Sus scrofa: one gene and its partner. The protein of the gene in region 2 purifies or fractionates together with the protein of the main gene of each other region. This does not show direct contact. Links are inferred from orthologs where the notes say so. Each region holds a gene or a part of one and is shown on either strand. Other genes may lie near its edges. The genes, in order: NUP37 and NUP85.

What was found.
Region 1: the proteins of NUP85 (region 2) and NUP37 purify together in Homo sapiens (affinity purification with western blotting; 4 studies listed by BioGRID and IntAct, with this or other methods). This does not show direct contact. The link is inferred for Sus scrofa from reciprocal best matches to the Homo sapiens genes NUP85 and NUP37.

What each region holds. Positions count from the first base shown.
Region 1 is NC_010447.5:82,104,814-82,108,630, reverse strand, and holds part of NUP37 (nucleoporin Nup37), read right to left. Parts: intron 3,546-3,817; coding exon 3,421-3,545; intron 1-3,420. UniProt on the Homo sapiens protein: Component of the Nup107-160 subcomplex of the nuclear pore complex (NPC). The Nup107-160 subcomplex is required for the assembly of a functional NPC.
Region 2 is NC_010454.4:6,083,285-6,087,101, forward strand, and holds part of NUP85 (nuclear pore complex protein Nup85), read right to left. Parts: intron 2,849-3,817; coding exon 2,714-2,848; intron 2,611-2,713; coding exon 2,488-2,610; intron 2,278-2,487; coding exon 2,146-2,277; intron 1,896-2,145; coding exon 1,789-1,895; intron 1-1,788. UniProt on the Homo sapiens protein: Essential component of the nuclear pore complex (NPC) that seems to be required for NPC assembly and maintenance. As part of the NPC Nup107-160 subcomplex plays a role in RNA export and in tethering NUP96/Nup98 and NUP153 to the nucleus.

The DNA of each region.
Region 1 (3,817 bases), on a different chromosome or scaffold from region 2:
TTCTGTAAATATTTTTGAGCTTTGTTCTGGGATGCAGTTAAGTTACTTGGAAACAGTTGGATTCTTTCAGGTTAGATTTTAATCTTTGTTAGGCAGGATCAGAGCAGACTGGAGGACTAAACTGATGACTCTTTTCTGAATGCTCTACTGGATAGTAGTGAATTATAAGGCTTACTATTCTGACTGGTTTAAAAAAAAAAACATTCCAGGTCTTGAGAAGGCTCCAAGAAGTGTTACTTCTAATGCTTTAGGTGGCTCTTTTCCTGGCTTCTAGCAGTTTCTTTCCAGGCTGATCAGTACTTGGCTGAAGGCTCAAGGAGATCCTCCTGTGACTCAGATCTTGAACCAACCAAGGGTGACTTCCTGTACTACCTGATATCCATGTTAAAAAACCATTACTTCTACGTTTTGTGTGTTTAATCTTTTTCAGCAGGAGGGTAAACCTAGTCCCTGTTAAGCAATGTTAGCTGGACTTGGCCAGGGGATCCAAGCCAGCCAGTTGGGTTCTCACTCCTAGAACTAGGATTCTGCCATGTGGACAGGAAGCCACAAGAAGTTAGTGTACAGGAAAGAGTGAAATGAAGCAAAGAGGAGCAAAGAAGGGTGGAAAGAGGGTTTCAGAGAGTAGGTTCTTGTCTCATTGCAGAAAGAATTCAAAGATATCACATGGAGGTCAAACAAGCAAAGTGAGAATTTACATGCTCAAGGGAAGAGTGAGCAGACTGAGATGAGTAGCTGCCCTAAGCTTCTTGGATAAGCTGGCTATGTCGGGTGTGAAAATGAATGGGCAGAATATTCATTGAAGAGAGAGGGGTTTGAGGTCATTTTTCTTGGTTTTTATCCCAGATTCACCTTCTCCCATGCTTTTACCTAGGAGTTCTATAGTTTCAGGTCTTATGTTTAGGCCTTTAAATCATTTTGAGTTAGTTTTTGTAGATGGTATAAAGGTCTGACTTCATTCTTTTGAATGTGGGCATCCATATTCAAAATTTCCCAACACCATTTATCCTTTCCCATTGTCTAGCCTTTACACCTCTGTCAAAGGTCATTTGACCATACATGTGAGGATTTGTTTCTGGGTTCTTTACTCTGTTCCACTAGTCTGTATGTTTGTCTTCAGGCCAGTATCATACTTTTTTGATTACTGAAGCTGTATTTTTTTTTTTTTTTTTTTTTTGGTCTTTTTCTAGGGCCCCACCTGCGGCACATGGAGGTTCCCAGGCTAGGGGTGTAATTAGAGCTGTAGCTGCTGGCCTATGCCAGAGCCACAGCAATGTCAGATCCGAGCAGCATCTGCGACCTACACCACAGCTCACGGCAATGCCAGATCCTTGACCCACTGAGCGAGGCCACGGATCGAACCTGCAACCTCATGGGTCCTAGGTGGATTCGTTAACCACTGAGCCACAATGGGAACTCCTGAAGCTTTATGTTTTTAAGTCAGTAAAGATGAGGGCTTTAGTTTTGTTTTTCTTTCTCAAAATTGCCCCCCCCCCATGATTTTGATAGAGACTGTACCGAATCTGTGGATTGCTTTGGGTAATTTAGACATTTTAATAAAATTAAGTCTTCCAATCCATGTACATGGGCTGTCTTTCCATTAATTTGTGTCTTCTTTCATTTTTTCCAGCAATGTTCTATAGTTCTCACTATAAAAAGCCTTTTGCTTTTCCTTTCTTGGTTATCTAGTGAATTCTAAGAGTTTATATAAAAGGCTACACTCTACATTAGTGCATAGTTTATTTTGTATTTCTGTGTATATACACAGTGCATAAGAATGTCATATCATCTATAGAAGGCTGAATAGTGGTTCCCAAAGATATGTCCAGTCCTAACCCCTAGTACCTGTTATAGCCTCTCTGGAATTAGGATTTTGCATATATAATTAAGTTAAGGATCATAAGATGACCAGACTGGATTTAGAATAGGCCTAAATCCAGTGATGAGTGTCTTTATAAGACCCAGAAAAGGAGAAACACAGGAAAAGATATGTGAAGACAGAGGCAGAGACTGAGGTGATATATCAACAAGGCAAAGGATGTAAAGGATTCCCAGCTGCCAGCAAAAACCAGGAGAGAGGCCTGGAATGGATTCTTCCTTGGAGCCTCATGAGAGACTAACCTTGCTGACATCTTGCTTTCTGATTTGTGACCTCCAGGACTGGGAGACAATAAATTTCTGTTGTTTTAAGCCACCATATTTCTACCAACTTGTTACAGCAGCCCTAGGAAACGAATATACTATCCTAAACCATATATACATACATGACCATTTCATTAAATAGCTTAAAAGATCCTGGGTATCAAATTATGCCCCCAAACCTGAAATATTTTACCAAGTAGATTTCCATTTCATTAGCCAGCTCAGCCTAGTCTCACCACGTCCTAGGACGGCACTCAAGCGGACCAGGTCTCGGTTTCCTTTTTTCATAAATGAAATTAGTTTACTTCTCATGTCCTTTCATAAATCTCAGTTCATAAATGTAAGCACTCTATCAATTATGGGTTTTTTTTTTGGTCTCTTTAGTGTTTGGTAACAAACCTTAAATAAACTGACATGCTACTGCCTTTGTGAAGAAGGCCTCAGAAAGCGTGTTAAGATTTTTCAAAAAACAAACAAACAAACAAAAAAACAAAAAACAGTCATTCTTTTCAAATTTTTTCAACAAACACTGAAGCCCAAGGATCAAAAATAGAGTTTTATGCATTGTTAAATACGAAAATGTGACCTTGGCCTATGTATGAGGCATTAAGATTGATTAATAACTCAACCAAATTAATTAATTAATCAATTAATGGCCACATCTGTGACTACACCAAAGCTCATGGCAATGCTGGATCCTTAATCCACTGAGTGGGGCTAAGGATCAAACCTGCATTCTCATGGATACTAGCCAGGTTCATTACTGCTGAGCTATAATGAGAACTCCTGTTACGGTTTGTTTTTTTTTTTTTTTTTTGGTTTGGATTTTGGCCTCATCCACTGCATGTGGAAGTTCCCAGGTCAGAGATCGAACCTGCACCACAGCAGTGACCCAAGCTGTTGCAGTGAAAGCAGAGGATCCTTAACCAGCTATGCCACAAGGGGACTACCAAATTCAGTTATTTTAAAAGAGTTGTACTTTCAATAAGTGGTAAATTCAGTGAAGAATCTATAAAGATTTCAAATGATCCATATGAATCTCAGAAAAAAGAGCTATGTAATTAGGCTTAAACACATGTTCAAGGTATCACTGTTATGGTTATATATTTAAATCTCAAATTCAGACAAACGCCTAAATTATGAAATAATAGCAAATGTTAAAGTCAAAAATACCTGGAGTTGGAGAAATGGAAGAAAAAAGTCCCTAAGATCAAAGGCTTCAGATCAGTTAACACAAAGGACATTAATAAATGCTGCATTTAATAATATTAAACTTACTTGATTACTGGAGGCAATGAATCAAGTCTAGTCTCTGGACTCCAGGCTATGCCGTCGACCCTGACTCCATGCTGAAATGTTCGTAGTGTTTTATAGTGAATTCCTTCAATGTCTGCTTCTTCCTCCTAAGCATACACAGTAAATGTTTTAATAAGTTATGAGAACAAGCAATATCAAATTCTATATTTTATTATAATGAGGAATTTATCAGGGGGCTGTAAATATTTTTTTGAGAAGTTCAAAAGCAGATTAGATATTAAGGTACAACTGGTTTACTGAACAATAAGAATAAAAACATCCAAACCTGTCTAAGCCTCAAAAAATAATTCTATAAGGTAACTAAAAACAAATAAACATGTTATACCTTATCTTAGGAGAGATTTTATTCTAATAGTAA
Region 2 (3,817 bases):
CAGCTCGGGCCTGACCGGCACAACCCAAGAGAAAGCACATGCCCACAAGACCCCAAATCCAGTCCTTCCGCCTCTAACACCCTCCGAAGAGACTTCGGCCCTGCTTCCAAACCGTGGGATGAGGTCCCGCGACGCGCTTTTCAGGGCCTCCTTCGAAATGGGCTAGGAGATGGCTTCCTGCTCAGGTAAGCCCAAGCTCCTAGATGCAGTGCCAACAGAAGCTTCAGACCCTGTCCTACTTGCCGGGGCAGAGAGGCGCCCAGACTGAGGGGCTACAAGCCGACCTTTCCTCCTTTGCGACTGGCGTTGGAGTGATGCCGTAACCTGTGGATTCACAAAAGCCACCCTCTCTGTTGACACTTCTCTAGCTTTTCCTTCTGTTGCCACTGAAAAGAACGAAGTACCTTCCCTTTTTATTATTCTTCTCCTCGTTCTTTTCAACTCTGTTTTGTTCCTTAAAAGCCGTATGTGGCTTAGGAAGGAGGCCCAGGAGGAAATAACCCACTGCCACTAACAGACAAGCGTCGGGCAAGACTGTTGCTTTAAACTATAGGCAGAGACACTGACAAAGTGAAATAATGACGTGTGTGCCTTTCTAAGTTACTGTCACTACCCGCTCCAGGCAGATGCCACCCCCACCCCCACCGCCATCAGCCAAACTCTTGAAGTTGTCTTCAGGCACCAACTAAAGTCTCTGTAAGTCTCTGAAAAGAACGCTGACACAAAACCCGTTTTCCTTTCTCCAAATCTAAGAGCATTTTCTTGAAGCCCTGGCTCTCTTTTGGCCAAAACAGGAAGAGATGGCAGCAGGTGGGGAACCCTTCCCATTGCCCTGATTTACCAAAAAAAGTAGGTTCAGTCAAGGTCAATGAGTTGATACGTGAGCAAGGCCACCTGCTGCGTTCCTAGCTTTCTTCTGGGCGTCACTGGTGCAACGCCACTCTCCAGACTGCACAAGGGAAGGTAAATTCTTTTTTTTTTTGTCTTTTTTTGCTATTTCTTGGGCCACTCCCACGGCATATGGAGGTTCCCAGGCTAGGGGTTGAATCGGAGCTGCAGCCACCGGCCTACGCCAGAGCCACAGCAACGCGGGATCCGAGCCGCGTCTGCAACCTACACCACAGCTCACGGCAACGCCAGATCCTTAACCCACTGAGCAAGGGCAGGGACCGAACCCGCAACCTCATGGTTCCTAGTCGGATTCGTTCACCACTGCGCCACGACAGGAACTCCGGGAAGGTAAATTCTGACTTATTACAACGTGCAAATTTCTGGAAAGCTCTACCTTGGATCACATTTCACACTCCTTTCCTGCCTTGCTGAAGGTTCAGTGTAATGACAAGATACCCTTTTGGGGAGCGGGCTGATGCAGAATCCCTGCTCTGAACAGACCCAATCAAGGGCCGAAGGTGTGGTACCCTGGCTCACCAGAGAGTGAGACTGTTGAGAGCTCCGTCCCTTACGGTGATTGCATGTTCGTTGGGTTCCAAGAATCCGCTTAGTGTCTGTTAATTCTAGGTTTTAAATATCAAAGGAATTTCCTGCAACGTTATGTTAAGTAAACATCCCTGAAATGGAAACTGTTACAAATACAAGAGCCGTCAAGCCTCAGGAAGGGCCCCAAGCTCTCCAGAGAGAAGCCATGACCTGCCCACATGTGGCTGCACAGGGGCAGCAGGTCTGTGGGAAGAAAGCTGAGACACCAGCAAGCAGAGGCACTGGAGGCGAGGACGGCTGCGAGGGCGGTCCCGCGCGGACCGTACCGCCGGCGGCGGCAGCAGGGCCTACCTGCACTCCTTTATCACTTGGTGGATGTCGAACTCGAAGGCTGCCAACAAGATGTTGTCCAAGGGTTCTGCGCTGCTCTCACCTCCCAGAAACAGGTCCAGGCTGGACTGTGGAAAGGGGGTGACCCATTCAATCCCCAGATGCCAGCAGAGACTCAAGGGGGCAGGCAGGGCTGCTGGGTAAGGCACCCTGGGGAAGGGTGACGGGGTCCTGCAAAAAGCGCCCAAGGAAAGCCCCTTCCTGTTCTCCAGGGGGGTTCAACTCCAAGAGGCCAAGGGGTGAAAATGACCCAGCGGGGGCGGGGCGGCACCTCAGGGTTCCTATGCCCCAGGCGCACTCCGGGGAGCGCAGGCTCACCTGGGCATAGCAGTGCAGGTCCATGGGTTTCACTGTGGGACAAGAGTACAGGAGCCGGGTCACTAGGAAATGGTACCAGTTACTCAGAAGCTCCTTTTGCTCCAACAGGGCAGCTTCGTCTCCCAGCATGATCTGAGAAGAGAGACACGACTCCTTAGCTCTGGGCGAGACTGCTACATCACCTCCTGATCTCGGCTGCAGCACCAGCTTTGAAAGCTCTCTCCTTCCAGACGCAGCTGACAGCCCTGTCCAAGGACCAAGTTCCTGCCGCTGCTGCGCTGGATGCTGCGGTCCCCAGGGAAAGCCAGCTTGGGCCCCGACCTGGACTTGCTTCCCACAGACCTTGCAAAGAGACTCGAGGTGAGGACTGGAGGCGAATGTGCCATCTTGGAGGTGCCGCTCGCACTCCTCGTGCCAGTGCTGCCACTTCAGCTCCAGCTCGGTCAACGTCTGAGTGTTACCAGGCTACGGCAAGAGACACAGAGCGAGCCCGTCAGCACACGACCCCTTATTCTCATTGCAGGACCCCATCTCCAGGACCCGGGAGAGGCCAGCCGCTCCCACATACGCTGAGAACGGGCATTGTCCTCATCAGGTCCCCCAGGACGCGGCACATGCCTGCAGAGGTGGGGCTGGCGTCGGCTTCCTTGGAGAGCATCTGCCGGGCCTCGTCCAGCCGGCCCTGCAGCACCAGGATGGTCACCTGGAGGACACCCAAGGACACACACGTTCACGGCAGGCTCAGAAGCCAGTCCCCTAAGCCCAGACTCTGGCTTTCTAGCCCTGGAGAAGCTCCCGAGGTAATCGGATTCATTGAGTCTCACAGTTTGAACCTGTACCATGCTTCTCAAACCACACATGTAACCCACTGAGGTTGTAACTTTTTAAAAATAAGCACAATAAAATAAAAAATTCCAAGTGCATCAAATAAAGTACTGGTTCATAAAACTCTGAGTTCAAATACATACATACATGCACATATACAATCAACATTATTACCACTGAGCCTCTCCAGTCAGATTCCGTATCTGTGCAGACGGCTGCCTGCTGAAATTTATTTGTAACCCCCAAGTCAATATCTGAGGTGCTTTCACCATCATTTCTGGACATGTGCCCAGAAAGGGGCAACAAATGTGAGTCACCTGATACACACGTTACCAGCTGAGGCTGAACAACTGGAGTTCCACCTTCTGGTATCAGCTCTCACACTAAATAAGTATCTTTTTTGCGATCTATTTAGCGCCGTATTTTTTACATTTTCATGCGTTTTGTTGGGCCCCCAAGCGTTGTGCTGAAGTGCCGCTCAGTGCTAAGTGCAAAGAAGGCTATAACGTGCCATGTATCATGTCAGAATATACATGTTAGATGAGCTTCATTCAGACAAGGTTTACAGGGCTGTTGGCCATGAGTTCAATGCTAATGAATCAACAAGATATATATATATATATATGTATACTTTTTTTTTTTTTTTTTTTGGTCTTTTTGCCTTTTCTAGAGCCGCTCCTACGGCCATAGAGGTTCCCAGGCTAGGGGTCTAATTGGAGCTGTAACTGCCAGCCTAAAGCACAGCCACAGCAACACAGGATCTGAGTCGTGTCTGCAACCTACACCACAATTCACGGCAACACTGGATCCTTAACCCACTGAGCAAGGCCAGGAATCGAACCTGCCA